Mus musculus: one gene and its partner. The protein of the gene in region 1 purifies or fractionates together with the protein of each later gene. This does not show direct contact. Links are inferred from orthologs where the notes say so. Each region holds a gene or a part of one and is shown on either strand. Other genes may lie near its edges.

The links. The genes of interacting proteins can lie anywhere in the genome.
Region 2: the proteins of Abcc1 (region 1) and Vdac3 fractionate together in Homo sapiens (co-fractionation; 3 studies listed by BioGRID). This does not show direct contact. The link is inferred for Mus musculus from reciprocal best matches to the Homo sapiens genes ABCC1 and VDAC3.

What each region holds. Positions count from the first base shown.
Region 1 is NC_000082.6:14,455,492-14,459,139, forward strand, and holds part of Abcc1 (multidrug resistance-associated protein 1), read left to right. Parts: intron 1-2,396; coding exon 2,397-2,478; intron 2,479-3,505; coding exon 3,506-3,638; intron 3,639-3,648.
Region 2 is NC_000074.6:22,591,297-22,595,044, forward strand, and holds the start of Vdac3 (voltage-dependent anion-selective channel protein 3), read right to left. Parts: upstream 2,518-3,748; 5' UTR 2,388-2,517; intron 1-2,387. UniProt on the Homo sapiens protein: Non-selective voltage-gated ion channel that mediates the transport of anions and cations through the mitochondrion outer membrane and plasma membrane.

The DNA.
Region 1 (3,648 bases):
CTTTTTTCTTTTTTTTGTTTTTCGAGACAGGGTTTCTCTGTGTAGCCCTGGCTGTCCTGGAACTCACTCTGTAGACCAGGCTGGCCTCGAACTCAGAAATCCGCCTGCCTCTGCCTCCCAAGTGCTGGGATTAAAGGCGTGCGCCAAGCCGCAGTGGCTGGGTTATGGAGATAAAAGTGAGTGAGTGAGGCACTGCCTTAAAAGTGTGAGGACCTGATTCAGATCCCCAGGACCCATGTAAAACATCAGGTGTGTGTGTGCTTATAAACTCAGCACTAGACAAGTGGAGGTAGGCAGGTCCTGGGTCTCACTGACCCCAGGATGGGGGTGTCCCTGTCTCAGAATTCAAATTGGACAGGACCCAAGAAACAGCGAGTGCTGAGATGTTGTAACCTCTGTCCATGTGCATACACATAGAAATGTCTTGGTGTATTCTTAAAATTATTTTATTGGGTTCTAAAACCTCTACCTTCCAACCCTTATTTTACCCTAATTTCTTCCAACCCCTCAACATTAGGTAGGAGAGAAAGAGGGTCTAGACTTCTATAGGCTACTTCCTGCTGATTAGGAGCAACTTCAATCTTCGACACAATATCCAGTAGTTTTACAAACCAGCAATTTAGCAATCCACCAATAGCAAACATAACTGCAGTGGGGCAGGTGTGTGTGTGTGGCAGTGATGACAAGAGCAATTGCTGCCTTCTTATGAGCCCCTCCTACCCCTCTTGGAGCTCTAGCATTTATTCCCTCTCCAGAGCCCCCAGAATTAAACTATTTGCATCTGGTAAAAATTATGCCCCTCCTAGAGCACAAGTCAGTCATAGTTATGGCTGTAGACAAACTGAAGCAGCCCCATGTTCCACACCTGGGGTTAAAACAAAAATGTATTTGTAGAACATAACTGGGTTTTAAAAGAAGCCAAACCTCTTACTACAGACATGTCAGCTCATAAGATAACATACTAAAATACAGACACTGATCTTCAAACATTTGTGCTTACAAGACAGCATACTAAAGAAAACATAGACACCGATGTTCATGGTCTTGTTTAAAGGAGTGAGTCTTATCCCAGCCAGGTCTAGAATTACCTGGAACACATTTACAGATGTTCATACAAGCAGAACCTCGTGATGTCACCTCGGCCTCGGCTTCATAGGAGGTCAGCAGCATTCCCATTTAGAGGCTTTTGCATTTCCTCAGGGCACACAGCTAAGTGAAAGCTCAGTCCCACAGTCCTGGATTCTTGACTGCAGGAACTGAATCTCTGTAAGGATCCAGGCAGGATCCTGCTGTATCTGCTCATTTACAGAGCCACTCCCACCTCAGAGTGACTCTTTGTTACCTAAGACTAACTCAGCTTGGAGCCCTACCCCATCCCAACAACTATCCTGGGACCCTCATCCCTCTAGCTCTCAGGACTGTCATGAGGGAACCTGGCTCTGCATTTGGTGTTGGTCTGTGTGTCATTCTTTTTGAGTCCCCAGCTGTTATTTGTGAGCAGCCTTTGTCTTGCGCGTGCACACGAGCGCACACACACACACACATATATTCTCTCTCTCTCTCTCCTGCTGCAGTCCTGGATACCTTAATTGTCTCTGTCTTCTTCTGTTAATATGAAAGAATGGAGGAGACAGTGTAGGGTGGGAATCCAGATTAGTGGCTGTTGAGCAGGAGGCACAGTGGTGCCCCTAATCGCCATCAAGTGACATTTAGTTCTGATCTTGTTGACACCTAGTAGATCCTTCTGGGATTAGGTCTAGCAGCTGATTCCCATGTGGTCTCACCAGTTGTTCAAACATCAAAACCCTCTTACTGGAGACATGGGTGTTGTATCAGGCCTGCTTCCTCAGACTCTGGGCATCGCCGTTGTAATTGGAGGGTGTGAGCTCTGGCACTAAGGGCCTCTGGGCCTTTGCCTATGGTGGATGCCATTGTCACAATGGTTGACATTTGTTTGTTTTTGAGACAGGGTCTCAACATGTAACCCAGGCTGGTTTTTAACTTTGAATCTTCCCTTTTCCTGTGACAGCCTGACATCACATGGGAGCAGAGTTGGTGTTAAGCGGTTACTGGGTGCTTAGAGTCCAGTGCTCTTCCCGCCTCTCCTCCCTGCCTTGGCTCCAGCATCTCCCCCAGGAACCTGAACTTGCTTATGGGTGATTGTATTTCACCCATGGCTCCTGGTGCTGCCTGCCCCAGCTAAACAGTCAGTAGAACTTTTCACCTTCCTGGAGTCCTGAGGTTTAGGTGGATCTCAGCACAATACAATTGTCTTCCCAAGCTCCCTGGTAGCCAGAGTCGCAGTTGTCTCTTGTAGAAGTGACTGGGTTCCTGGCCTTTTTTGTTCTTGCCCAGCTCTTGATGCCACATTCTTCCCTCTGCCTGTCTTCTGTCAGGTGTCAGTGGTTCAGGGAAGGAGTCAAAGCCGGTGGAAAATGGGATGCTGGTGACAGACACCGTAGGAAAGCACCTGCAGAGGTAAGCATTATGTATGTGTGTGTGTGTGTATGTGTGTGTGTGCCCAGCCCTGAGTTGCTCCTGCCCGGCCCTGAGTTGCTCCTTCTTGGATCTGTGGGATCCGAGAAGGGACTGGTGGCCTTTCACTCTACCACCATAGCTCCCAGGAATTTGGAATTCCTGTCTATTCTGCCTGCCTCATCATCCTTCGAGAGCCTTCCCAGGAAGGACCAGCACTGACCTATAACTCATTCAGGCCTGCCCTTGAATTGTATGTTCCTGCTTCTGAAACTTGCCCTCCACCCCCATATGATTTGTGTCTTTCTTCAGGTAGCTGATACAGGGTTTGACATGTTGGGTTTTGTGAGCTGGCACATGATCACAGACAGTCACACTAATGGTGATACTGCTTTGGGAACTAGGCACATTTGTAGGCCTACAGTCTCCTGGGCTCTAGCTTGCTGCTAGCCTGTTCCGATCCACATCAGACAGACAGAGGCTTACCAGTTCTGCAGCTCTAGAGATGCCCAGTGCTGAGCCAGTGACCCTAAGCTTTATCTATGCTGCTTTCAGAAGACTGCTTTGGTTTAGTTTGAGGGTTTTTTTTTTTTTGTTTTTTGTTTTTTTTTTGTTTTTTTTTTTGTTTTTTGTTTTTGTTTTTGTTTTTGTTTTTGAGGCAGGGTCTTATGTATCCTAAGCTGGCCTTGGACTGAATAGATAGCTAAGGATGAATTTGAATGCCCGGTCCTCGATCCTCTTGCTTCTATCTTCTTGATGCTAGGATTACAGGTGTGGTGCCGCTATGCCTACTTTATCCAGTGCTAGAGTTGAACCTAGAGCTTCATGCATTCTACCAACTGAGCTACATCTACAGCTCCCAAATAATTTCTTTACATGAAAGATTTTTCTGTTTCCTCTTCACACGCACCACAGCAGCTCTCATTCGTGACATACACATCCCTGTCCCTGGAAACACAGGAGCACAGCTATGTGTGAGCTCGCACTCCCTAAGGTTCTTTGACTGGCTCCCTACTCTCCTTGGTAACAGGCATCTCAGCAACTCGTCTTCCCACAGTGGGGATACCAGCCAGCAACACAGCAGCATAGCCGAACTGCAGAAGGCTGGAGCTAAGGAGGAGACGTGGAAGCTAATGGAAGCAGACAAGGCCCAGACAGGGCAGGTGAGTGAGG
Region 2 (3,748 bases), on another chromosome or scaffold:
GTGGGATTTTATGACACCAGAAAATTCCAAAGTACCAGTCAGCTTCCAGGCACTCCCACCTGGGGGCCACATGCAGCCAAGGATACCTATGAATGTGACTCTATCTACAAAAAAGTAAACAGGAGATTTGAGGCTAGTGAGGTGGAATTAAGGCACTAACTGCCAAGACTCAGGACCTGAGTTCTGTCCCTCAGACACACTGGGTGGAAGGAGAGAACCAACTCCCACAAGTTGTCCTCTGACACAGCCAGTGGCATGCAGGCATCTAAACACATCAAACTAACTCTCTAATTTGGGGCTAAGATAGCTCAACGAGGTACAAATCACCAAACCTAACAACCTGATTCTGATGCCAGAACACATGGTTGGTTGAACCAACTCCCCTAAGTCATCCTCTGACCGGCACACAGGGGCAGAAGAAGCAAAAGCGTGCACAAGCGCAAGTGTGCAACACACATGAAATATATACATGAATAAAGACAAACAAAACACAGGGTGGATATGGGGAAACGTGACTTCAACCCCAGCACTCAGAGGCAGAGGCAGACACAATTTGTACATCTGAAGCAAGCTAGAGGTGCTACATAATGAGACTCTGAATAAAAATAAAAATTAAAAAAAAAAGCCTGACTGCGTGACCTTAATAGATGACAAAGTTGTTGACCATGAACTTTGTAGATGAAGTTGTGTCAGATCAACAGGTTGAACACATCTTCCAGTTACGATCACTATGCCTGAACTATGGACACTTTGCAAATCATTTAAATAACTACCCTGTATATTTATACTCAGTCAGTCCAACTCTTAATCCAATTCCTGCTAGGCTTTTGCCTATAAATAAACAGGGCCTTGGTTTATAGCCCAGGCTCACCTCAAACTTACTGTGTAGCAAGGTTGACCTCTCTCAACATATGATAGTCCTTAGCTTCCGGGGAGCTAGGATTATAGCTGTGTGCCACCATATTCAGCAAGACTTATGTCCTAACTGGAAAGTCATTGAAAATTTGTACCTGTCACATGCACACACTATGATATAAAGTTAAGAGGAAAGAGCATACAAAAAAAACATATATAAAGTCGGGGCAAAGGAGATGGCTCAATTGGCAAAGTGTCTGTCACACAAGCATGAGGAACTGCATATGAGGACCCACACAGCACTGGGGTAGGGAAAGTGCGGAGACAGGAAGACTTCTCAGTTCAGTGAGGAGACCTATACCCAACATCAACCACTGGACTCCACATGCATACGGATGTGCACACAAACGTGTACATACACCACATAAACAAGTTCACACACACACCCAAAATTTATAGAGAAATGGGGATGGCGTATGGGTAAAGCACTTATCTTACATAGAAGAGGATCTATAATTGATGCCACGGGTTTTATCCAAGGCATCAATCAAAAGGAAAAGTTAAGGAGTCAAGGCAAATGAGTGGTATTGATGTTCTACATCAATCTATAATAAAATTCTGCTCTATGTTACAGAGTTTGGAGTCCACTAGCAGGGTAATTTTACAGTCCCGGTAGTAATGTAAATCTTTTGCCATCATTCTAGGAGGGAGGAAACACAGGTCTTACGTATTCAGACAGAAACGTTTATACAGTTTTAGGTTTTCATACTGATCAGGGAGAAAATAAACCAAGGTGGTCGAAATGTCTAAGTGCTATTTACAAGCTGCGTTTAGCGTTTTTGATCCACTGTTTCTCAAAAATCATCACTTTGCAAAAGTCAAGTGGATAACTGAAGTCGTTCATGCCCAAACTGTCCCTTACTCGGACCCATGATTCTAATGGGAAATGCACTGCTGGTATGATCAAGCAAAAAAATCGAGAAAACCCGGACTCCATGTTACTCGAGAGTCAAGCTACAACCTCACAATCATCTTAGCGCTACAAGACAGCTATGCACCATGCCCTGAGGCTGCATTAGAGCCTGAGAGGACGACAAAAGGCACTAACTAGAGGAGACAGCTTCTCTTTTGTTCCTTGTTTCTGCTTTTTAAGATGCATGAAGAGCATCCACCCTTCGGCCGTCGGGAGTGCAAGACACGCCTGACAAGTGCTGGACACACCAGACAGCGGGGTGAGGACAGGGTCGGGTGTAGGTTTGGGGTTCCGGGACTCGTCCTCTCTAGAAACCGCCCGCCTTCCAGCCTGGCCCCGGGCAGACCGCCAGTGCGCACGCCGGGTGCGGCGGAAGGTCGCGGCCGGCCCAGGGCGGCGACTCCCGCCCTCAGGCGACCAACAGGGTCCGGGCAGCGGAGTCTCCCCTGCCTCGCCTCGCCCTAGGTCGGCGCCCCTCAGCTCCTCCTCCGTGGCCTCGGCCGGCTCCTCAGGCCCGCCGGCCATCCGCCCACCCGGCCCGCGGCAGCGGTCGCCTCACCTACAACCCGAGGGTGGGCCCGTCCCGCTCCACCAAGGCAACGCTGAAGGTCTTCTCGAACCAACGCCGTCTGCGCCTGCGCGACCTCGCTCCCCCGCCGCGCCTGTGCGCCTGCGCGCCCGTCGTCCCCCAGCGCGAGTGCGCGCGGCGCGGCGCCGCGCCTCAGACCAGACGTGCAAGGGGCCCCGCGGCGGGCGCCTAGGCCAACTGTCCGGCTGCGCGTGCGCGGGCGAGTGCGCGGGCGCAGTGGGGGCCCTGCTGGCGGGTGACCGGCGCGGGGTGGTGTGGAAATGGCCGAAAGGCCTTTGAGGACCTTTGCTGGGCCGGGAGGCGCGGCTCTCGCGAGAATGTGCCAAAGCCGTAGCTACTGTCCCCTGAAGGGGCGCGGGCGGGCAGGGCGCCAGCAGAGACCCAGGGCGGGCTCTGCGGACGCGAGCTGCCAGCCAGAGTGTCGCTCCCAGACCCTGCCACCCTCTCTATGGTGGATGACTTGCAGGTCTTTATGGGAACTTCGTCCCAGGTCAACTGTAATTTTAAAATGTGAGTCTTCTCAGTTGGAACGATGAGAGAAAACCCAGGCCCTAGAGGTTAGGCGACTGCGGGCTTCTAGAGCATGCAAGTTAATTCAAGAGAGAGAGAGGATGGAGAGAGAGCTCTTCTTAGAAGAGAAATCAATGTCGCAGGAATTGTGCAAGGAACACACCACTGCTTTAGAGCCACCTTAGTGACAACCGATTCCCCAGCAAACGGTTAAGGAGATCCCGATGGTTCCCAGGACTCACTCACTCCGCGGATTATTTACTGAAGAGGAAAGGACCTTCACAGCCAGAAAATCGCCTTCACCAAGTGACTAAAGCTAACTTCAGGTGCCCTGTCATTCACAGAAAGGGACACAAGTCGATATTCTTATATTCTTGGTTGTGAACCTAGCCTTTAACGGCTGAGCCATCTCTCCAGCCCACGAGTCAGTATTCTTAACAAAGCATGTAATTTGTCTATGGGCGAGAAAGCAAATCCAAATTAAGGGACGTTCTGCGAAGCAACTGCTCAATCTTCAATGTCATGAAAGATGAAGAAAAGGGTTTAAGAACAAAAAGATGTAATGCTAAAGTGTTTTTGTGAGTCTCAGTTGGACTGTGGATAAAACAAAAGGGCTATTGAACACAACCAAGCAACTGAGGAGATTTGAGTAAACTACACTAGTACACTAGTACTAGAGCAACGTAGAATCTGAGGGTACTGTGCCTTGGTTATGTACAAATGGCCTTTTTGGAAATATTTGTTGATGTTTCTACCGCTAACTCTTTTTATTGAAAATAATTTTTCATACACTATATCCCGGTCATGTTTCCCCACCCCCA